4 linked regions of the Bombyx mori genome follow. The main gene of each other region encodes a partner of the protein of the gene in region 3 in a complex. Links are inferred from orthologs where the notes say so. Each region holds a gene or a part of one and is shown on either strand. Other genes may lie near its edges.

Region 1 (5,988 bases), on a different chromosome or scaffold from region 3:
ATTACCTTGAGACGTTGAGGTTGAAGCCCGTTCGACGTAACGCATGTCGCTTTAGTTTAAGTAAAGTAAGCACGAAAGCAGTACCTACCCTTGCGGACTCAATGCGAGTCACCACTATTCAAAAACCAGAGTACCATTGAAATATGTTTTAAAAAAAAACTTAAAAACCCGCTTTTATAGTAAATCCAACTAAAAACATAGAAAATAAATTTATAGTAATCAAGGTGTGGGGTGCATGATGTCAATACTTAGTTATAAATATTTTATTGACAGATATGAGTGAGTGTGATACGATATGAGCAGAAGGATTATCCTTATCCTATCCAATTCAATAATTTCCAATTTGCTAAGTAAAAAAAAGAAGGCGCTCAAATGTATTTGTTGTTTTGACTGGCGAAAGTAAATAACGGGTCAAATTGTTTAAAATATTGAATTGTCATCGGTCCTGGATAAGTACGCCAAATTTCGAGTTAATCCGTATTTTGGAGGGGTCAAAATCATGTTCAAAGACTTCATTACATAATAACTTATGAAGCGTATTAAAAATGATACAAAAGAAAGGGTTACCTCAAATACAGTTTCTCCTAAAGCCAGGGTGACCCTCCCCGACCTGTGGAGCTGCAGCTTGCCGATCCTACCCTCCTCGAGGTCCGTCAGGCGACACTTGTTGTCCTCCTGGGAGAGCAACACATCGGTTTTACTCTACATCAGTGTGCTTAGTGTGAGTTTTTTAACGTTCTCGATCGCGTAAAAGTAAACTTAAATCTGTGTTCTTAGTGCGAGTTTTTTTACTTTCTCGGTAGTGTAAAAGTTAGCTCATATTTGTATGGAATGGGATCGTTTGCGTACGTTTGCCGCTAGGGGCGCTGTTCCAACTGCATACAAAATTGGTTAACTTTTACGCTATCGAGAATGTTAAGAAACTCGCACTAAGCACACGGATATGCACCAGCCACCCAAAAAATTACTATATGAGATTTTTGTTTTTTATCGACAATGATCTATCTCACGGTGAGAAGTGGATATCAGAGCTCATAGACATCAATACGCGAATGCCGACACCGGTCGGAGTCTCAACTATATCGTATAACGACTGAAACATGAGTGGATGAAGGGGTTAAGTATCATTTTTAAGATTTAGTTTTTATATAGCCTTTAAGCCCGGAGTTTGAAGTTCTAATAATAGGCACATAACACCTTAATTCAAACTCCGGGTTTAAAGACTATCTTTAGAAATTGCATTTGATGAAGGAGTTGTGTACGAAGAAAAAGTACACGTAACAAAAGTTTGTTGCCCGTTTTCTCAAAATTAACAAAATGTATCATATCCCCTTCATCCACTCATGTCGTCGACTGTCCCGAACCTTCAAATCGGAATGGCCCGGCCGATTCGTGGCAGAACCGGACAGGATGGTGGGTACCACCATATAAATTATAAGTTTAGGTAAAATTCCAGTATTGGGGCGGATTTTTTCCGCTGCCCAGGAGCGGCATTAAGTTTAAATCCGGCCCTGGTTGTTGATTATAAAGTTGAAACACACGCACCTCCTGCTCGTCCGCCGCGCCGGGGTCCGCGCCCCCCCCGGCGGACGGGCCGGGCTCGTTCTTGGTCCTCCTCCGGGGAACGTCGTCCTCGACGCGGCCGCCTCTGCCCGGGAGACTCGAGGGAAGCTAAAACGTTTTCATGAAGCGTACAATGACGTCTGTAAACTTTGAAGTTGCATATTATGACTGAATTTGTTTCGCCGGTTCTTTACAAGTTTAAAATATTATTAGCTAACATTATCGTTGTAGTGTGTTTTAAAGTCCTTATGTGTACAGAGAAATCCTTGTCGTCAGCGTATCCTGAAATACTGGCCCTTAGGTTCCTTTAAAGCGCTCCCGAATTAGTTGAAGTGAAACTTCTTTAGGCGCGTTGAGAGTAAAATTTAAATCGCGACAGATTCGTTACGGCTAGAGATAAAAAATACAATTTAAGAAGAGTGAGAGTGAGAAAATAGACAGAGCGTCTCGCGAACAACTCGACCGTGGAGAGGCGGATAGCAACAAAGCGAGCTAATTCTTTCTCTTACACACAGCATTCCTTATTACCTACAAGAGAAATTTGATTTACTGATGACAAATAAAGAAAACCACATTACTACGCACCGCAAAAGAAGTTTCACTTCTTTCACGTGCACCAAGTTTTTTTTATTTATTGCTTAGATGGGTGGACGAGCTCACAGCCCACCTGGTGTTAAGTGGTTACTGGAGCCCATAGACATCTACAACGTAAATGGGCCACCCACCTTGAGATATAAGTTCCAAGGTCTCAGTATAGTTACAACGGCTGCCCCACCCTTCAAACCGAAACGCATTACTGCTTCACGGCTGAAATAGACGGGGTGGTGGTACCTACCCGTGCGAACTCACAAGAGGTCCTACCACTAGTAATATGCGCATCATTTTTTTTTTCTTGTAAATAAGCAGTATCCGGGTCTCATCTATTTAAGTTTTAATTGTAATAATGACTACGAATTGCAACGCGCGGTTGCTTGGCGGCAAAAACCGTGTCATTGCCATCAACGGTTGCCATCCGTGGCAGGACACAACTTCAGGATCGAAACGATATATTAGGAGGGAGTTACCTGCAACATAATTAATGTTGATTTGTCGTTATTAAGTAAGTTCACTAAGTCGGTATCTTCAAACGCTTCCTTCACGTCTGGCTTTCGTTCTGGTGTGCTTACTGGAAATAATAAAAACGCTATTCATTTAACATAATCTATATACTTAAGTATATAGGAAAAACTAAAAAAGATAAATAGCATTCTCTATACCGATTTTATTTTTTATTAATTAGTAACTAAAGCCGTGTTTTGGTGTTGCCAATAAAAAAAAAGTGGAAATAGCATCCATAGACACAGCCCGCTAATACTAGACTAGACTCTAACTTTTATTTCCTACCTAAGCTGATAGCCTTGAGAGTCTGTCAGCGTAACCGAGCGAGTAGGTGAGCTCACGGGGCTCTAACTGGGAGTGATGCTAGCACTGGCCCTAGCAATAGCAGTGCTTCGCAAAATCTACCACCGAATCGAAAACGCGACCCACTGAGAAGATCTGGTGTGAAACTCAGTGGGCTGTGTGTCTGAGGGTTAATTTACTCGTCGAGCTCTTCGTCGCAAGCGACGGGTTCGACGAGGGCGGTGACCTAAAAGAACCGTTAATGGACCGGGAGGATCCGTAATGACGTGTTTAGGGCGACGTCGACTGTTTACCATTCGGTCCACAGGATCGGGTATGAGACTCTAACCAAAAGCTGCCCTAAGCACGCCCTTAGGGATCCATCAGATTCAATAACCCTTGCATTAGACGCCTTCAGCTGTAACACTAGGAGCAAGCTTAGGGACCCGTACTCGTCGAACTCGACAAAGAGTTCAACGTGCAACCTAACTCATACATCAGCGCGTTGAGTTTCTCGCCGGATCTTCTCAGCGGATCGCTATTCCGATCCGGTAGTAGATTCATTCACGAAGCAGTTGCTTTTGAGCTGTTAGGTCTCATTTGGAGGTGCTCGGGCAGCTGTTAGCAAATCCCACCCCTCCTGACTGAGCCTTTGCTCGCCGAATTGTCCTGGTAAAACTAAAAAGGCCTCCTGACCACCAATAATCACACATTCATAAAAAAAGGTACTCTAATATTGAGACTACTTACTAACACAGTCGCCATCTTCCCGGGGTTCTGTCTTGACAACAATCTCTTCTTTAACCTTGACTTTCGGTTTCGCATGAGTCTTGGCCCAGTCTGTCAAAGACATGTATTTATGTAAATATTGAAGATGCGGAAACATCATCCAAAGAGGGATGATGGGAGGAGATGGTCACGACCCTCAGACATGAGGAATGCGACTCAGGGAGGAGGAACCATTAATTTAAAGCAGCGGTCGGGGAACTTTTTTAATTACTACCCCAAAATATTTTTGTGTAAGTTGATATTACCCCATGGCGAAGAACAAAAAAAAACGAAATCGCTTCCTTTTAGCATCTTTCATATTATAGACCCCATGATAATTTGAAATCACAACGATTCTAAAGAAGTTTCACTTCAATATATATATATATAATTTTTACTCACAAAAGTTTCATTTTTACCCCACAAAATTTCATATTACCCCATTTCGGGTAATTTACCTCGATTCCCCGACCGCTGATTTAAAGGGACCGTAGCTGGATAGATCCTAAATCCTATAAAAATACCATTCCAATGTTCAGGAATTTGTTAATCTGTGAAGTCGTTATGGACGGTATAGATCAGAGTGCGGATACCGGTACCAATCTCGAGAATTGAAATGAAAGCCTCAATGTACAGTGTAACCCCTGTGCTTCACGACCGAGGTAGGCAGGACGCTATCAGCTAACTCCAGTTCGTCACTTACAACCTCACCACAACCACGAGTGGAGATGATGAGCTTCTCTAAGCCGACGCTACATAGAAAATACTGGATGAACACAGGAAAGTTGATTAGAAACTCACTCCCATCATCCATGGGTAGTTTGATGGGTGCGTCCCTGTCGAGGATGTCCTTAAAGTCGATGGACTCCAGCTCGTCAGTATCGCCTCCTCTTAAAATCATATTTATCTTCTTCTCCTCCAGTTCTTTGTCGATCTAGAAAGATATAGATAGTGGATTTAGGTCACTTTTTTTTATTGCTTTAATGTGTGGAAGAGCACACAGCCCACCTGCTATTAAGTGGTTACTAGAGCCCATAGACATCTACAACGCAAATGCGCCACTCACCTTGAGATATAAGTTCTAAGGTCTCAATATAGTTACAATGGCTACCCCACCTTTCTAACGGAAATGCATTACTGCTTCACGGCAGGAATAGGCGGGGTGGTGGTACCTACCCGTGCGTACTCACAAGAGGTCCTACCACCAGTAATTACGCAAATTACAATTTTGCGGTTTTTATTTTTATTACACGATTTTAATTACAACAAAATTAACCGATGAATGTAATTTAAATGTAAATACCTTCACGAAATCCTTTACTCTGATAGCTGGCTTCTTCATAATGTTTGTAGTTTTTTCTGTGTCCCGCCCGTAGTACGAGCGACTTGAAGAATGCCTCTCTGATGAACCGATGCCTGTAATCAATTACTTTGAGTTTTTAATTATTGACTGGCTTAATTTTCAGTATTCATTTAATTTTTAGGAGTAATCAAACTGAATAAAGCTCAGCTATTTTTAAACGCTTACTCCTGTCTGAATTGTGAAGTTCTGAATGTAATGTTATCATTAAAAAAAATAGAGTCATTCATTGATTGAATTCAACATCATTACTTAATGATTGATTAATGATTTTGTATTAATTTAGTAGCTATGATTCACAGAACTCAGTTGTACGGGAGATTGGAAGAATGTTTCGTGGATTTATAAAAACAAATGATGAATCATTCAAACAATTTAAACTAACATATTGATACGGTTGTATGAAGCCATGGTCATTTCACTTTTAACAATAGCTTTTAATTATGGCATGAAAATGAATTCATTCATTGTGTAAGGTGAAATCTATAGGAACTAACGTCAATGTATCATCTCAATTGCAACAAAACAGTTTGGTTTTAAAAATGTATTCTGATAGATGTAATAGTGATTACCGCACAAACATCATTGGCAAAATAAACTGACTATATATATTATTATTTTTACATGTAATTCTACTTTCTTATCATCAATAACTCTATTAAACATAATAAATACTTTATTTCCAATGTTTGGAATACATTGGAGGTTTTGTGGTCATAACCTGATATTAAACTGTAAATTTTAATTATGCCTATGACTAGCAACAACAAAAATATTGTATATTATTGTTAATATAATATTGTAATAAATTATCAGTTATTTTGATGGGTAGCTAATGATTATAGAAGACAAATAAATTATTTATTTAAAATGTTAACCTTCAGAGAAGACACCAGCAGATTTTATTAGTGTTGGCC
Region 2 (6,872 bases), on a different chromosome or scaffold from region 3:
AAAAGGTAAATTTAAAAGATGTCTCGAAATTGTATTTTGACTATTTTTAGGCAAAGTAAAAAAGAAGCAGCCAAAGAAGCCAAGCGTGAAGAGGAGATGAAACACATCACAAGTACTATCACAGATTTGTATTTTACTGTGCAAAAACAACAGACACAACTCCGAGAAATGGAAAGGCTTATTCATTCTATTGGTATGTTGTTAGTAAATAAAACTAATTCTGTTGCACCTGTAAATTTTTTTGGAACCATTTACATTATATAATATGGTCTTTTTGGTCTTTTCTTAACATTATAAGGTTTGAATGAAGACTTTGAACTTAAAATGATAATAGTGTTATTATGGGTCGGGTTTATACACTGTATAAATATGAGTAAAATTTATTTATTTATGAACAAGTTATATAGTTGGTTGAAAATATTTACCAAACTGCCTTTTTTGCATGTTGCTATGTCTATAAATCTGATGTTCAAATGAACTGTAATTGGAAATGTGGTTATAAAAGCCTAGTCTTCACCCATAGATCAGTTATAGACCAGCTAAAACTATCATTAAGCCACTGTTGTGGAAAAATAATAATTTTGTTTAAATATATCTTAATAGAAGGTTCATTGTTGTTATTTGTTGATTTTTAATGTCTACATAATCAATATGGACATGTGCTTCACAAACAAATTGGACCATTTTTTATTTTCTATTTTCTATAAACACCAGTACATAGAGATGTAAAATCATACAAAACATTTGCAAAATAATTTATACTGCCAATTTTATTATTCTCGATTTAGGAAAAATATAATATAAAGTACTTTATAGATAGAATCTTTCATATATTTGTAACCTGTTCTTTTAATTTATTCAAAGATACTGATTTATGATGGTGTTAGCATACATATTTCTCAGACACTGTAATGCTTCCCAAGGGCAGCAGTAAGAGTTAAATCTTTACTTTTTGCTTATCACTAAGTTAACATAGTTCCAACTAATTCGAACTGTTGGTTTGCAATTTGTTTTGTTGCTTCTGACTGGCGCTAAAACTCAATTTATGAGTATGGTTGGTACTTGAGTCTGTCATGCATATTTATTGCTTGATATCATGTGGTGTACAGGTTCTAATTATTTTATCATCTCAGAAATTGTAATATTATCAATATCACACACTATGGCATGGAAATATTTAAACTGGTGACAAAGCTTGCTGATAAATTTTTTCTTAGTATTGATTCTAAGAACAATGTAAATATATCAATCATCAATTTATTTTCTATTTTTAATAGGTGGAGATCAAGCACCCAAAAACAGCCCATCCTCTGACAAAGATAGTACAAATGGGAGATCACCACCAGATGCCACACTAAATAATCACGTTCCTGAACATATAAATCACAATTCACCAACTCTTAGTCCCACACCTTATCCAAATAAAGGCCTAATATTGCAGTCGTTGAATTATATACAAATGGACGCATTTAGCTCATTTTTCCCCAAAAATAATACTGAATATGAGAAAGAAAGAGATGAAGATAAATTTACAAGAAATAGGAGGGAGCCAGCTGTACTCTCTGGTATTTTGCATAATATCGAGAATAATTTTAGAAGTTTATTTTGAGGATTTTACAGTATAAATTACACATTGTACTTGCATTAAAATGTTGAAATGACCACTAGAATGTTAAATAATTTGTTGCAAAATTGTTGTTGACCATAACTAATTTGCAATAAATTGCTTTAAAACAGGAGCCTTCTGTGTGACAAGTTATAAAGTAGACTTTTCTCAGTTAAAAGTTACGTAATTTTAACTATATAAAATTATCTACAGTTATAAAAGTATTGGTTTTTCAAATGTGCACACAATATTCATATTGTAACTAAGTATTCTATTGTTAAGTAATGTTCTACAAATATCTGTTTTAAAAGCAAAAATTTTGAACTTATAATAGAATTAAAATAGTATGTGTTTTCAACAGAAATATATTATTTAATGCTTTTAAGTATAATGTCTCTAGTCACAATTTAATTTGTAGAGGAAGCTTATATTCTTTTAACTAGATCAATGATACTTATTTAAATAGGTATTAAAAATGTTATTAATTATATTTTTTTTTTAATTATTCCAACCATTCAGTCATATAATTACAAACTTGTGGAGTAATTAGTCCTGAGGAATTACATCTTTGAATCAAGGGGCATATTCCACATGGCACTTGAACAAGGCCTGAAGATGGTATAAGAGTTTCTATAGCTCTATATACATTACTTCCATCGGGAAACACACTTTTTTCTACCTTCCCATCATACACTAGGGTGTTTAAAATTGTTGTTACATCATCAACATCTAATACAACCTGTAAAAGAAAAGTAACACTAACAAAACGTTGATGTAATAATAAACATCATATAAGTAGATATAAATGAAACATTAATTAATTAAATCTACATGGTATTTTAAAATGTTCGCTGACCAAGTTAGTGTATTGTGGTAGGACCTCTTATGAGTCCACGCGGGTGGGTACCACCACCCTGCCTGTTTCTGCCGTGAAGCAGTAATGCGTTTCGGTTTGAAGGGTGGGGCAGCCGTCGTTACTATACTTGAGACCTTAGAACTTGTATCTCTAGGTGGGTGGCGCATTTACGTTGTGGATATCTATGGGCTCCAGTAACCACTTAACACCAGGTGGGCTGTGAGCTCGTCTATCCATCTAAGCAATAAAAAAAAAAAAAAAAGTTAGTGTATGTTTGTAAAATCTTACTTTACTAATTCCCAGATCAGTAATATATTTTTGGACTTCAGTAGCAGTAGCATAAGCTTGTGTTCGTCCAAAAACAGGTCCCCTAGGATTGTTTCTCATATTATCAGCTCTTTGACTCAAGAACCTGTGGCATTGTACATTGAGGACATCTACAAACTCGGATTCAAAGTCTTGGTCTTGGTACCAAGCTCCCCCTGTCAATGATCTATCTGGTTCCAAGTTGTAAAGCATATAAACCTTCTTTTTAGAGGCCTGTGAATTAACCAGGTTTAAATTGTAAGTTAAGTATCAGATAGATCTTCGTTGATTTAAAATTAAATTTACTTACATTAACACATTTCACAGCTTTTATCACTTTTTTACTTTCCAAATTTTTGAGGACTTTAGTCAGTTGAGTGTTTGCAAGATTCGAACGGATCCTAATATCTCTAATCCAAATTCCTTTATTTCCTGCTTCTTCAATCAGATTATAGACTACCTTTTCTTCATTATCTGCTCCTTTGATTGCGTGCTTATTTGTTTGAGTTTTCAACCTAAAATGAATAAAATTTAATAATATTATTATTATTAATATTATTTCAAGTTCTTTGAAAATTCTTCTCTAAATCTTCCAATTCTTCTCTAAAAATTCTATAAATAGACTATATTTATTAGTTACGCTAATATCTTTAGACACCTTCATTATTTTGCTAACGTACTTATAAATTAAAGATCCGTTTTGATTAAATAAATCAAAACGTTCTTGTTTCAGCAGATCATTTAAAGCAGTTACTAGTTCTACTGATGATATGCCAGGTATTTCAGCAATTATATCCTTGTCTGTAATTCCTTTCGAGCTTTTTCTTGCAAGATTTAGTATTTTCTCTTTTGTATCTTCGGAACTCATTTTTGGAAAATATTAAGCGTTTGTGTATTAGATTTATTAGAATATGCTTTGGGGCTTGGGCTAAACCATGGAGTTAATAAGTACCTTAGTTAGAATAGTAACTCTATGGGCTAAACAAATATATATATTTTTTAAGGGATTTTATGACCTGGTAACTAAGACCTTTAAGTCATGTCTTATTTTAATTTATATTCATATTTTTATGAAAAATGATATTATGGAGTGAAATGAAATAAAGATGATTAATTTGAGACATTAATCAACTGGGATGAAATTAAATGAAATGAGATGAGATGATATGGGATGAAATATAATCTCAGTAAAATGGAGGTCATTTACTGAGACTTTTTCAGTGGACTTTTTGGAGGATCCCGAGAAGTTACGTTCAGCGGCTTTGTTTCATTTTCCCACATTTGTGCAATTTCACAGATACTAAGCAGTTAATAAGCCTGAAGAAACACTAAATAAACAAAATAAAACAATACACACAACTTCACTCCTCGCGTTCCCGCCAAAAAATTAATTTCAATCAGCCACCTTGGCTGAAGTTTTTACTCCTTTTTCACAAAAATGTAGTTTTGTGACTCTTTGATAAGACACGCCTCACCAAATCATTACTGACGCAGGATTATGACTACGTTGTTCCTTTGATCACTTGAGCAGAACACTTCTTTATAGCACTTCTTCAGAACGGTGTGCATACCCTAAATTATACTATCACTTTGCTTATTGTAGTGTTCTTCAATCGTGAAAATTGTTTTATTGGTAAAGAGGATATTTCTGTGCCATTCACCTGCACACAAGACGTTTGGATCGATCCACTCTCTTTAATTGTAAAGATCGATTTAGGTCATGTTATGTACATCGAGGATAAGCACTGAACTTCAGGTCTTGTTTTATAATCTGCGACAGTCCTAGCGGGAATCATCATTTTTCGCTGTTGCGACGAATTCTGGCTTTAACAGCATTAGTAGCCTTTGTAGCTCTAGCACCACGAGGCCGCCCCGACCTTCTCTGGTCTTCGACAGACAAAGTGTTTTTGTATCTGTTCATAGTACAATTTACGAACATACGGCTGATACCAAGCTTTTGAAGTGTCTGGAATATGACCGACGGCTCCATATCCACTTTGTGTAAGGCGATTACTGCAAACCTATTTTCTTTAACACCCTATTCCATATTGTAATTTGATAATGAACACGAAAAAATATGTGAAATGGCGCAAAATCGAAAGAAGTTGAGGGAGTTCATATAGAGTCTTTCTTTCGCCGTAAAGTCGTGTTTTATGTAATTAACACCACAGTTGAAACAATATAAATTTTATTGATGTAGCGGCATAAACAATTCTAGCTAATTATATTATATTAGTTATTTTACACATTATAAATTGTTTTTACGTTTTAAATATTTGGCGGTAAAAAAAAGGTCCCGTGTCACAGACTATATTCTGTTTCCCACCTCTCGTGCGTTCCGGCTTACGCATCATAAAAAGGTGCGTACTTAAACGCCACAAAGTTTTTAAAATAATATACGTGTTCCAAATTCAAAATCATTATATAGTTGAAAAAAAGAAGTTTTTTTTGTAACAGTATTTATGGCTCGATTGGTTATATAACGTTAGGAAAAAAATATATTGTTGGAGTTTGTATATTAAATGTAATGGCAGGCAACACTTGACACTTGATTAGATTTCGAATATTGGAATTAATTTAAATGTTTAAAAAAACAGATCATTGTATTCTCGTAAGAAAATGTCAGAACTTCTCATCTAGACACGGCAAGACAAACATGTAATAGTTTTAATAAGTAAAAAAATATAAAGATAATAATTGTATAATGGTTTAAAAGTGTTCAAGCAATCTGCAATATAATTATAATGAAGCAGTTGTGTTTTTAAATAGTCCCTCATCACCTACAGAACCCAACCCCTTAAAATGTAACCATCCAACAGGTTATGGGCCCAGCACGCTTCCACTGCGTTACTCTGCTTTCTCGACTCTAACCCTTAACTCCTTCTCGACTCTAACCCTTTGTATCCAGCAATAATTTAATTAGCTTTCTCCAAGCTTTATAATTATCCTTATTTGTGAAAGGTTTTATTTTTATTTTAAAGGTAAAAGAGTCGAGTAGGAGTTAAAGGTAAAAGAGTCGAGTAGGAGTTAAAGGAAGGTTATAGAGGTCGAGAAGGAGTTTAAGGTTATAGAGGTCGAGAAGGAGTTTAAGGTTATTAAAGAGGTTTGGAAGGCGTTTAAGGTTATTAAAGAAAAGCGCGGGAAACTTCGTTTATGGTAGACGTATTTTTCACGGTGGTGAAAATTTAATTTAATTTTATAGTTAAAACGCGGAGGATAAGCTGGTAGTGTAAGTTTTTGTAATATATGTAATCTTTGTATCATATTTGTGTATAGTGTCATCGTATAGTTGGTAAGTTTTTGTAATTTTTGTAAATATTGTATGAACGAGCCCCCCGATCTCGATCGGGGGGATGATGGCTATGTTGGCCTGAATCTCCCCGTGGGATCATATGTAACTGTTGTTTCACAAGATGAATTTGATAAAATGGATACGGATTGTTCGTTATCATCTCAGACAGGTGAAGGAAGTCGTAAACGAACACGTTATCTACGCCTTTGTCGGCAGTGTACGAAAAGGAGAAATAAGAAAGGTGGTTCTAGCGGTGATTACTGTCAGTGCGAAAGTTTATGCAATATGGAAGATGAGTCAATTTTAATAAAAAAGATTACTTCTAAAAGTTCTAAACCTATATCTCAATCGACGTCATCTTCACACTCGCAAAATAATATTAACTCACATAAAACGTCCTCTCAACCATCAACATCTTATACGGAAAATTCAAATATCTCTCAAGACTCTAACGCGGGAAATTCAAATATCTCTCAAGACTCTAACGCGGGAAATTCAAATAACACGAAAACTACAGTAACCAATACAGACTCCCGTTGGATCGGCCGGACTGAATATGTTCTTACTGATGTTTCCCCTTATTTGATACACGTTCAACGTATACAAAGTTCACCTGATGACGGGACCGTTCTCCATCCTATAACTTTCGGCAATTTTTTAAAGCAGAACAAATTTGAAAATATTATTCCCGGTAGTGTAAAGCGTATAGGAAGAAATAGGTGCGTAGTTGGCTTTTCCGATTATAAAGACGCCAATAACTTTCTTAACTGCAATCTTTTGGAAACGAAAAAGTTAAAAGCCTTCATTCCGAC
Region 3 (6,326 bases):
AATAGTGTCATGGCGGACGTCGCTCGCTGACATTTTGACGTTCAGAAACTGAACAGTTACTTAATAATTTTTTTGATACGTATTGTAATTCAATCAATTATTAATTATACTCACGTCGTGTAGATTAATATGGAACAAATAGACGGCCTTGTTCATGCCGCCGGCCGACGCGGTTTTCCTCATTGGCTGAAAAGAATACCTATGTATTAGATGAATTATTAGAAATATAATCTATATTCTATTTACCAACTAATCTGTGCTTTTTATCATTATTGCTTACACCAGTGATATTATATCCATTTATATTAAGTAGTTAACAGAGTTTATAGACATAATGACTTGAATATTTTTTTTCCTATCTATGCTGATAGCCTTGAGAAGCTATTTCAGCTTCGCCCTAACATGTAGGTGAGCTCACCGACCTCAAACCGAAAGTGTTGCTAACACTGACCCTAGCAAGAGCAGTGCTTCACAGAATCTACCACCGGATCGGAAACGCGACCCACTGAGATGATCCGGCGAGAAACTCAGTGGACTGTGTCTGTGGGTTAATTACCTGTCGCTTGCAACGGGTTCGGTGAGGTCGAAGGCTCATATGAACGCAGTGCTGTCCATATGAGCCTCCGACCCTGCAGATCTTGGCTCTGAGTCCGACGTGAACTGAAGATCATTTCGAGAGAATCCGCATCAGACGGTAGACCTCAAATTTGAAACCGAAAGAGTCCGGACATACTATACCCACCTGTAAACTAATGAAATGCTCTTCTAAAAGTTTATACGACAGCTCTTTGCATTCCTTATTTGGTAGCATGGCGTTTTTTTGTACGTCATCCTCTTCTATATATTTCTTATCGAGAATTATTCTGAAAAAAAATATACAATAATTATAAAAAAAAAAACATATTTTTTGACTTCATTGTTATAAATGGGCGAACGAGCTCACGTCTGATCTGGCGTTAAGGTCGAGAGCCCATGGACATCACGAATATTAAATTGTACACCGGCTGGCTCAAATTCGAATTAGAATACGGAACTACGGATAGGTGGTGGATGTTTTGTTTGATTATACCCTACAATCAATAATATCGCCTCATTAACTAATCAATCGATGAGACAATGAAAATCTGTTACTGAAACTGCTACTCGCCTACCGATACTACTATTTCGTGATATCTTTGGCACAAATCAAAGTATTTTAATAATAATTACAGACCTTAAATCGTCGATCGATTAATCGGTGTGTGACTTTTCGTGGAAATGTGCCGAGAGAAATGACGTGTGATTTTTTTTTTATTGCTTAGATGGGTGGACAAGCTCATAGCCCAGCTGGTGTAAGGGGTTACCGGAGCCCATAGACATCTACAACGTAAACGCACCACCCACCTTGAGATATAAGTTCTAAGGTCTCAGTATAGTTACAACGACTGCCCCACCCTTCAAACCGAAACGCATTACTGCTTCACGGCAGAAATAGGCGGGGCGGTGGTACCTACCCGCGCGGACCCACAAGAGGTCCTACCACCAGTAAAAAAAAAGCAAAGTTTAACCTGAATATCCTGGCGGCCTTGTAGCCCAGTCTCTCCGTGACCAGCCCCTCCAGCAGCGCCAGCAGGCACCCCCGCGCCGCGCCCGCCCCCCGCACGCTGTACCCCCGCCCCCCCGCGTCCGCCCGCACCGTGCCGCACCCGCTCTCCTCTGTCACACGCAACGCACTCTTTTTTTTCCTGCCTAAGCTAATAAGTTTGAGAGGCTATGTCAGCGTAACGTAAGCGTGTTGCTAACATTAACCCTAGCAAGAGCAGTGCTTCGCAGAATCCACGACCAGATGGTAAACGCGACCCACTGAGAAGATCCAGCGAGAAACTCAGTGGGCTATGTCTATGGGTCAATTTACTCGCCGGGACCTACGTCACAAGCGACGGTTTCGACGAAAACGATGACAGGTGCTTGTGGTGCCTAAAAGCACCGATAATGGATCGGGAGGATCCGAAATGACGCGTCAGATTCACCATAATTCAATATTACTTCAACTCATAATTTATGAATTTTCAATTGTGCATATGTATGTGTATAAATATATATTTCACTGGATTAGTACACCGCACGTAAGGATCTTCTCAGCGGATCGCGATTCCGATCTGGTAGTAGATTCATCCGTGAAGCAGCTGCTCTTGAGTTGTTAGGTCTCCTTTGGAGGTGCTCGGGCAGCTGTTAGCAAATCCTACCCCTTCTGGCTGAGCCTTTGCTCGCCCACCCGTCCTGGTGAAACTGGCAAGGCCTCCAGGCCACCAGTAAATCTTCAATCATAAAAAAAAAATATTCGTTTCCAAATGAATCTTGTCTACCTGATGTTTGTCTGGAAGAGATCGCTCTTAGCGATAACACCTCCAATTGTACTTTTTTATTTAACGTATCGCATTGTTTTTTTTTTGGGTGCACACTAAAGAATACTCACTTACTCATAAAAAAACCTCACCTAAGACCTTCAGATATTGATCGAAATACTGATTCAAGAGGGGCTTGTCAGCAGCGGCCCGGAGACAAGCCTCCCTCAATTCCACGGCCGGCACTAGTGTAGACTCTGCAGCCCACGCCGGAGACGTCAGGTACATGTGTTGCAGCATATGACGAAGAAGCTCACCGGCTGGAGAAGAATACAAAATTCACAACTCATCAGAGGAACTCCAAAGATATCAGTCTGTCCGGCTATTCATATGACAGCAATGCTCGCCGCAAACCTCGTTTGAACAATGACATAAATGTTTGGTTGATGTTGATATATTTTTTTATTGCCCTTGTAGGCAGACAAGCATACGGCCCACCTGATGGTAAGTGGTTACCGTCGCCCATGGACTTCAGCAATGCCATGGGCAGAGCCAAGCCGCTGCCTACCGTTAAATACTCTCCACAAGCCTCCTTTGAAGAGTGACATGACAGTGACATAGTGCTCAGGAAACACCGTGGAGGGGAGCTTATTCCAAAGCCGGATGGTACGTGGCAAAAAAGATCTCTGGAAACGCAGTGGGTCCAGGTAATATGGATGAACTCTACTCCGGTGGCGGGCGGTGCGGTGGTAAAAACGAGATGATGGTATCATCTCAAACAATTCCACAGAGCACTCCCAGCCAGAGATAGCCAGTATTCTCAATTCCTAGGACACTGAAGGCAAATATCAAACCTGTAAAAGTCATAAACTTCTTAATTACAGTAGAGCGTCTTGTGAGCCCGCACAGGTAGGTACCATTCTGCCGCAAAGCAGAGAAAGCAATTGAGTCTTAATCTTCTTCATCCACATATGCAAAAACCAATCTTGGGTAGAACAAAAAAAAATTTCGATGACCTCTAGCATTGCTAACGTATCCCTGTGTCTGCCTCGAAAGACGTTTAAAAAAGAAAACAACATTCACCGTTTTCATCTATTCGTCTTGTGATTGCTTTGATCATAATTTCGTCGCGGATATCCTGATGGAACCTGTCGTAATTAACTTTCCAGTACACATCTGAAACAATAACATAAATATCTCAAATTCTTATTTAATAAATCAATATTGACCAATGGCCTACCAATCTGTCAAATATCTTATATTCAAACATTCATTCATGACTCATGTTGTGGTTTTTATATTGGGGTATCTATGATCATTTAAAATCAGGTAGACCATTAACCAGTCTGCCCAGCATGACCCATCAAAGCTCAACAATGCAGCCTCTCACATCATCTACACATTATAATATTCTTCTTCATTTGATTTGGAATTTGAATATCATTTTCAACAGAGACATCCATAGGTGATGCTCGGACTTATTATTAGGTGGAATGCCAGGCTTTCTTTGACAACAATATCACTAACTTTCGCAACGGTATCTCCAGTTCATATTCTGTTGTTCTACGAGCAGTATTCAATGGAAAATATAATTTGGATCGTGTTAAAATTACTCATTGAGTATCATGTTTAACAGTGACATACATAGGTGATGCTCGGACTTATTATTAGAGGGAATGCCGGGCTGTCTTTGACAACACTATTACTGGGTTTCGCAATGGCAACTCCAGTTCATACTCTGTTGTTCGACAAGCAAGATGATATTGAAATTACTCACTATCACTACTTTCAGCTAGATTTCCAGAATTCATAATTTTAATGACAGCTCGTACATCAATCTCTGGTGTTATAGTTGCGACGGGCACCAGTGTCGGTATCTCGCTGCCTTCCTTCAACTCAGCTACAGATGCCTGCTGTATGTAACCAGCGGTTATCAGACTTATAAAGATATCTTTTAGTTTCACTATAGTCATGTTCTTTTCCTGGTGAAGAAAGCAATATTTATCAGAATAGCTAAAAGAAATGAATACAAATAATTTGCCTAGTAATAAGGAACATTGTATAAATCAAAATATTTTGTGCTTATGGTTTTTTATTATTGCCCTTGTAGGCAGACGAGCATACGGCCCACCTGATGGTGAGTATGGTGAGTATGGTTATGGACGTCAGACAACTACTACCATAAATTTACGCATTATTAGATAACCATAGTAATTATAGTATGTGATATAATATATATTATATTGTAATGTAAAGTAATAAACATTTTGAGTAAAATGGGTTCTTTTTGGAATTCCAGATCTTAAAAGGATAAAAAGAAACCGTTATAGAATCATTTTGTTGTTTTTTTCTGTCTGTCTATCTGACAATGGATATCCGAATTTTTTTTGCATATTCCTGAAACTCAAATTTAAAGCAATGTAATAACAAGGATTTATTATTTATATTGTTAGAGTTATCATGTGCACTGGCCACAACTTAAATTAGGCTTTCTATAAGTTTTTCCTTCTACTATCTTATTTATCATATTAAATGTAAATTGTTCCTGCAAATAAACTGAGAATGCCAGATCTAAATATGCCACTTTAGTGGTGGTGCTTATAAAATGACTATGAACTAAGTACCTTGTCATCTTTATATTTAACAGCAATGGAGACTAATAGCACGGTAGCAGTGGAACATGCCTTTTGTAACAACTCTTCAATCAATATTTCTGCTTCACTACCGTACTTCGTTTTAATTTGTAGTAAATACCTGAAGAAAATTAACACTAATCATACCAACATTTACTGCAGGGGTGGGCAAAAGCCGGCCCGCGGGCCGGATCCGGCCCTTTTGCTAATTTTATCCGGCCCGTTGAAAAATTCCGCACATAAATTTTTTTAAACTCTTTTATGAGATTTTGTTGACATCAGCATTAAAAAAGCATATGCGGTAAAAAAGCATATGCGGTATAGTCCTCCGGCCCGGGAGACATTTTGAAAATTTCATTTTGGCCCGCGCTTTAAAGTATTTGCCCACCCCTGATTTACTGGTAACTATTTATATCATAGCTGGTGGATAACGGTATACGACAAGTATTACTCAAAATAAACGAAACAAAACAGACAGAAAAAGTATAATAACAGTAGATTAATTGGGAAGAAAAAGTCATGAAGTCAAATATGCAAAAGCAATAAGATGATACGTGCATTTTCAATGCAAAAGTTCAAAATGGGCATTTAACCCATTTACGATATGTTAATAACTATCAAATATAAATTCATTCATCTGCAAAAGTGACTGTTACTTCTTCCTCAATTTTTTATATTATTATACCGTTTTTATGGTTGACACAGATTTAAGAATTTTACAATAGATTAATGGCATGAGGCAGTTTGGAATGAGGCAATAGATTAATTTCAGCTTAGCATACAGAGCTATCCCAGTCTCACCAAATACTAACAGTCCAGTATTGGAACTGCTTATTACCGCATTTGAATAATGAGTGACAAACGTAAAATCCATAGTATGCAACAGATGTAATGCTCTGTGAAGCCAAAGTTATCCTACTGTCTCTTCCCAAAGACCAATGCATTTTCTACTGTTGTATACTGAATGTTAAACTACCCTGTAGTTGCTGTATGTAATCAGCCTTAATGTATATTTTAAGAATTAGGATTACCTGTACTATGAGACTGATATATTTGGAACCCTGATGAAGAGCAAACAAACTTGTTTGTCACATTGTTTTTGCACAATGTGGCAATGGAACCCACAACCCTCAGTACAGCAATCAGGACAAAAACTACTTCAGAGTCAATTAAACATATAATATAAATAAATAAAACCATATTTTAGATTTAATTGATGTGAATAATACCTTGGATATCTAATCATCAAAAGCACATTCTCCGGAATTAATCTGTAATCTGCAATTACTTCATTTGGAGTTGGTTCAAACATTGCCAAATCATACTTCAGTAACGTTCGGAGACTTTCTACCACCTGTAATGTACATTA
Region 4 (5,695 bases), on a different chromosome or scaffold from region 3:
TGTTACGCGCTGGGGTTCGAGATAAATAAAATTCCAGCAAAGTACAACTTAAAACTGTATTCAACACTTAAAACACTCAACAAACACTTTAAAACTCTCAATTCGCTTCTTCCGCTTCGCTTCAGGTGATCCGTTCGCTGTTTCGCTTCGAGTAGTTCCTACAACGCTTTTATAGCCGATACCACATCTCTAGAATTATCGAGAATATTCCACACATCTCTAGTATTGTGCTTCCGGTATCTGACAATAGATGGCGTTGTATTTCTCGAGCGTTCTAGATGCTACTATGTCCTTCGATATTCGTTTGACTATTCGCGATAGATGACGTTACTCTTACCGGCGTAACATAACTATACTGAGACCTTAGAACTTATCTCAAGGTGGGTTTTTTTTTTTTTTTTTTCCACAGGAGAAAATCGCCGGATCCCCACCCGCACAGCAGGTGGGGTATGTGGGAGTCGAACCTCACTAAAAACTCCTGCCGCTCACAGCCGGCGCCCTACCCCGGACCGGGTGGGAACCCAGTCGGAGCTATTGAGACGGCGGGACAGGGTTTACGCAGTGCACATTACATCCATCCCGCCGTCCCCCAGACGCCGGACCGGCGGCCGCCAGCAACACGACCGCCGGTTCCCTCGGTCGACGGGCCAAGAGCCCGATTGATAGCGCCGCGCTACACCTTCCCCCGGAGCGGTCGGGGGAACGCGACCTACCACGCCGCCCCACGCCTAGGTTGCTCCCCGCACAAAGCGGGTGGAGCTCGAAGCCCTTAGGGGGCCGGGTCACGGACGGGACCCCGGTCCCGACCCCCTGCTCGGCGGCGGCGGGTTTCTGCGTAGTGAGGAGAGCTTTGCCTCACTCGCCCCGCCGCCTCCTTCTGCGAGATGGTGCACTCGCAGAAGTCGAGCATAGCCTTCCAAGACTCGTCGCCGCCAAGCATCGACGCCACGACGCCAGGCAGCGACAAGTCTGGTCCTATCTTTGCGACAAGGACACGGCGCTGCACCTCCCATGCGGGGCAGACAGCGAGCGTATGCTCCGCCGTGTCCAGGTCGTGTCCACAATGGTGGCACCTCGTCGTCGGCTCAGCTCCTATCCGGTGCAGGTACTTTCCGAAGCATCCGTGCCCAGTCAGCACCTGCACCAGACGGAAGGTGAGGCGTCCTCGGCCACGATTCACCCAGTCATAAAAGACTGGGTAAACCGCCTCGACGGTCCGTAGACCCCACGTGGGGTTGGCCAACCGCCTCGACCACGATTCGAGCACGGACCGCCGAGAATGGGCCTTCCGCGCCCGCAGCTCACTTTTGGAGGGACGCGCCACGCCCAGAGCACGAAGCTCACTGCGCCACCGATAGTCGGCAGCGAGCGACTCCGCCTCCAGTTCCCATGGCGGCGTCCCCGCCAACACACACGCCGCCTCGAATGAGACGGTGCGATATCCACGGATGACCCTGATAGCAACGGTGCGCTGCGGCCGACGCAGGAACCGAGCCATAGTAGCCCGATTGCGCGGCTCAGCCCATACAGGCGCACCGTACAGGGCCATCGATCGCACCACCCCAGCGTAGAGGCGGCGTACAACCTGATCCGGCCCCCCGATATTTGGGAGCAGTCGGTTCAAAGAACCGGCCGTCCTCATTAACCGGGGGACCAGCTCCGCAAAGTGAGCACGAAAAGCCCACCGGCCGTCCAACACGAGGCCGAGGTACCTTAACTGCACCCCGACCCCTATCCGGACGCCCCCAACCACGATGTGGGCGTCGACAGGTGGCGCTCTCCGCGGCCCGTGAAACCACAAGGCCTCGGATTTACTGAGCGCCACGTCGAGGCCCAGTCTCTTTATCCTCCCGACGACGAGGGCCACTCCCGCTGTGGCGAGACGGGCAGACTCTCTATAATCATCCCCCCGGGCCACGACCAAAGTGTCGTCCGCGTAACAAATAACACGGAGGCCCGGGAGGAGGGCACCCCTCAGCACCCAGTCGTACCCGATGTTCCACAAGAGGGGTCCGAGAACCGACCCCTGTGGAACACCACGCACGACCGGAAAACGGTGAAGGGTCCCACCGTACCCGGTACATTCGACCGACCTGGCCTCCAAATAGGAGCCAACCAGCCGGCGGAGGTAGAGGGGCACTCCATGCCTCTCCAGTGCCCCCCCTATCACAGACCAGGGCAGGGTGTTAAATGCGTTGGCGATGTCAAGAGACACCGCCAGCGCCACCCCACCCCGTGAGACAGCCTCGTCCGAGAGGGCCCGCACGCGAAGTATCGCATCCACGGTCGAACGGCCCTCCCGGAAGCCGAACTGCTCCGCCGACAGGTCAGGTCCAACCCCGACCAGGTGCTGAACGATGCGGGCAGCCAGAATACGCTCCAGCAATTTTCCCGCCTCGTCCAGCAGTACGATAGGACGATACCCGGCGGCTGTATCCACCGGGCGCCCCTCCTTTCTTAACAACACAAGTCTGCCCGTCCGCCAGAGCAACGGAAACCGTCCCGACTCCAGGCAACCATTAAATAGCTCCAGGAGCCGGTCCCCCAGGGCATCGAGGGCCAAGGCCAGCACCCGGCCATGGACTCCGTCCGGGCCGGGGGCCGTGTCCTTTGCAGTCATCCTGACAACGGCCACACGGAGCTCTGCCCCAGTGATACGGGGCACCTCAGCAGGGGCTTCGCCGTCGATGGCGTCCGACGGCTCACCCATAGCAGGGGGAACAAAACCCTCCCGCTCCTGCGGGAACAACGCCGAAACGATGTCCCGCAGCTGTTGAGGCTGAAGTCGCTCAGTCAAAGGGGGGGCCCACGGGCGCAGTTTGCCGCGCACCAGCCTATACGGGCTCCCCCATGGATCCGCTTCGAGCGGTGGGTGGCGCATTTACGTTGTAGATGTCTATGGGCTCCAATAACCACTTAACACCAGGTGGGCTATGAGCTCGTCCACCCAGCTGAGCAATAAAAAAAGGTCTCAAGTCAAGTCAAGTTTTTTACTCTTCACAGATTGTACAAGAGAGTGAGGAGAGATTATCTGAAGAGGACGTACAAGACATAATTAGTATAGTTAGCCAACATCTACTTGCAAATGATAATTCTAATACATAATGCAATCTGTGAAGTCGTTCTTGACGTCGATTGAGGAATAAACCTACGTGAAGTGATATTCCTTTAAATAATGATAAGTATTGCATAAGGATTGCGTATTTCGTCAGAACCCGTAATCTAAAGCATAAGCAACTGGCAGGGGTTTTCTGGAGACCAATAAATACATTGCGTGCACCATGTATCGCAAAAAAGATTTTCTATAAAAAAAAAAAGTTATTTTTTAATTTTATAGCTCGGAATAAATACCATCTGCCTCTATTTTCGTGATCAATTCGATATATAAAATTAACTGCAAAATTAAATTGTTTTAAGTAAAATTTTGTTTTTATTGTTACACATTAATAACAAAATAAACACAAAAATTGTCATCGCCAAAAGAATTAAATGCCCGGTGTATAAAGTGGTACTGGTAATGATGCGGCTTTTTTTTTATTGACCTTGTAGGCAGACGAGCATACGGCCCACCTGATGGTGAGTGGTTACCGTCGCCCATGGACTTCAGCAATGCCAGGGGCAGAGCCAAGCCGCTGCCTACCGCTTAATACTCTCCACAAGCCTCGTTTGAAGAAGGACATGTCATAGCGCTCGGGAAACACCGTGGAGGGGAGCTCATTCCATAGCCGGATGGTACGTGGCAAAAAAGACCTCTGGAAACGCACTGTGGATGACCGCAGTGGCTCCAGGTAGTATGGATGAACTCTACTCCGGTGGCGGGCGATGCGATGGTAAAAACGATATGCCGGTATCATCTCGATCAATTCCTCAGAGCTCAGACCTCAGGCTATGGTCTGTTCAAATTTCGTGGAGTTTTAAAACTCCTGTTCATAGCCTACAAAAAAAAAAGAAACTCGTTTTTTGACCCGAACATATTCTACGATCTTAGTTCCCATAGTGGTCCAGGTAGCAAAAGCAGTGCTTCGCAGAATCGACCACTGGATCCGAAACGCGACCCACTGAGAAGATTTGGCGAGAAATTCAGTAGGCTTAGATGAATTTGATCTTGCTGTATTACGTCAGACTAACGCTTACTCAAGTGTGAAAATTTAATTAACAATAATCTATTGCTTACTTCGATCAATAATAGTACTAGATTAAAGATCAGGAACAAAAATAAGACGCTCCAGTGGCCACGTTTGCAGACACGAAAACATCTTCATTTCTTAGAAAAAAGTTTAATAATGTTAACGACTTCAGTTTATTCTAAACCTTAATACTTAAACATAAAGTTTAATTACCATTGCAAAATATATGTATTTAGGTCCTTTCGTCAGAAAAAGAATATTATGGAATAAATTTAAAATGTCACTTGAACTTAAAAAGACATCAGTACAAAAATATTTATTCTAAAATGATACTTAAAGCCTAATTTATAAGGTTAAAAATATTTGTTTAAAATTTCGTGCTTATTGTATTGTGGAACTAGATGTAGTTCTTGGTATTACATTTCAATGCTCAGAACACAGTAAGTATTGAAAGACATAGAGTTGCAGAATATACATATTTGTTTTAGGTTTGTTTTGTATGGTCGCAACTATTTTTGACCGATTTAAAAAAGTAGTAGATAATATTTTACATTGCCGCTATTACAACAAATAGGTGATAAGAAATAAAATTGAATAAAGTAAAAAAAATATGAAAGGAAACACGAAACATGTTTTCCACGTATTCTTTATACAGAAGTTATTAAACCAATAATGTAGGTTTAATTACCTTTAAACAGATTCAGTTTGTTATAAAGCTGTCTTTTAGAAGTCATTTTTATATGAGCGGTTTCTTTTTTACAAATATAATGTAATCTTATATCAATGAATTTTTCTATAATCAGTTTAATTTAGGCTTATTTTATGGCTGTGTTCGTTTCCCCCAGAAAACAAATCCTTTTCAGCATATACGCTTAAAATATTTACACATACATATAAAGTTTTTTTAATACTTTTTTGCATTGATTTGCCACCACCATTGAACAATTCTAGATTTTTTATAAGGGTTCTATATTTCTTCTCCTCTTTCTTTCGCGACATTAAATATCCATTGTGCACAGCGACAAGGGGCTACTAGGAAATCTACAAACAAAAATAACATTATAAAATAACAAAACTACTCTATGCGTTCCCTGTTCAAGAATAGGTGATGTTTGTTACAATAGTTGGTGCCTTGTTGCAAACATTGGCCAAACAATTACAATATTCGTAAATTGTGTTTTATTTACAATATAATTGTGTTTATTATTTTATGAAAAACACTTAGTAATATAAATTTACCAAAAAAAGATATTCCTTCCAAAACCTTGGTGTTACGGTGGTTTTTTACTCAATTTTTGAACGCGCATTGCAGCGTTTTGACGTCTTAGTGTTGGCTATGACTGGACCATACTAATTTGAAATAAGACCACAAATTTATTTGTGGTCTTATTTTTCGGGCCGTTTTTGAAGCGCTAATCGCGAATCTAGTAGTATTATTGATCGAAGATTGCTTATCATTATTGAATTAAACATGGAAATTGATCACTGCCTGTATAATAGTTATGTGTTTTAATAATAATGACCTAAAGACTGAAATAAGTGAGTACTATTTTATTATTAAATTGTTT

What was found.
Region 1: DNA-directed RNA polymerase III subunit RPC3 (region 3) and DNA-directed RNA polymerase III subunit RPC4 share a complex: the UniProt entries of both Homo sapiens proteins name them as parts of the RNA polymerase III complex. The link is inferred for Bombyx mori from reciprocal best matches to the Homo sapiens genes POLR3C and POLR3D.
Region 2: DNA-directed RNA polymerase III subunit RPC3 (region 3) and DNA-directed RNA polymerase III subunit RPC6 share a complex: the UniProt entries of both Homo sapiens proteins name them as parts of the RNA polymerase III complex. The link is inferred for Bombyx mori from reciprocal best matches to the Homo sapiens genes POLR3C and POLR3F.
Region 4: DNA-directed RNA polymerase III subunit RPC3 (region 3) and calcitonin gene-related peptide-receptor component protein share a complex: the UniProt entries of both Homo sapiens proteins name them as parts of the RNA polymerase III complex. The link is inferred for Bombyx mori from reciprocal best matches to the Homo sapiens genes POLR3C and CRCP.

Annotation. Positions count from the first base shown.
Region 1 is NC_085113.1:12,566,096-12,572,083, reverse strand, and holds part of DNA-directed RNA polymerase III subunit RPC4, read right to left. Parts: coding exon 5,950-5,988; intron 5,128-5,949; coding exon 5,015-5,127; intron 4,646-5,014; coding exon 4,513-4,645; intron 3,784-4,512; coding exon 3,694-3,783; intron 2,729-3,693; coding exon 2,628-2,728; intron 1,672-2,627; coding exon 1,546-1,671; intron 676-1,545; coding exon 568-675; intron 1-567. UniProt on the Homo sapiens protein: DNA-dependent RNA polymerase catalyzes the transcription of DNA into RNA using the four ribonucleoside triphosphates as substrates.
Region 2 is NC_085131.1:5,844,578-5,851,449, forward strand, and holds the start of DNA-directed RNA polymerase III subunit RPC6, read right to left. Parts: upstream 3,743-6,872; 5' UTR 3,637-3,742; coding exon 3,449-3,636; intron 3,284-3,448; coding exon 3,079-3,283; intron 3,003-3,078; coding exon 2,751-3,002; intron 2,346-2,750; coding exon 2,109-2,345; 3' UTR 1,610-2,108; coding exon of another isoform or gene 1,278-1,609; 3' UTR 194-1,277; coding exon of another isoform or gene 51-193; 3' UTR 1-50. Other genes in the region: putative OPA3-like protein CG13603, read left to right, coding at 51-193, 1,278-1,609. UniProt on the Homo sapiens protein: DNA-dependent RNA polymerase catalyzes the transcription of DNA into RNA using the four ribonucleoside triphosphates as substrates.
Region 3 is NC_085120.1:9,120,219-9,126,544, forward strand, and holds part of DNA-directed RNA polymerase III subunit RPC3, read right to left. Parts: intron 6,312-6,326; coding exon 6,187-6,311; intron 5,079-6,186; coding exon 4,949-5,078; intron 4,307-4,948; coding exon 4,102-4,306; intron 3,501-4,101; coding exon 3,408-3,500; intron 2,645-3,407; coding exon 2,477-2,644; intron 1,729-2,476; coding exon 1,548-1,728; intron 864-1,547; coding exon 743-863; intron 187-742; coding exon 115-186; intron 1-114. UniProt on the Homo sapiens protein: DNA-dependent RNA polymerase catalyzes the transcription of DNA into RNA using the four ribonucleoside triphosphates as substrates.
Region 4 is NC_085116.1:2,993,990-2,999,684, reverse strand, and holds the end of calcitonin gene-related peptide-receptor component protein, read left to right. Parts: intron 1-3,003; coding exon 3,004-3,105; 3' UTR 3,106-3,418; downstream 3,419-5,695. UniProt on the Homo sapiens protein: DNA-dependent RNA polymerase catalyzes the transcription of DNA into RNA using the four ribonucleoside triphosphates as substrates.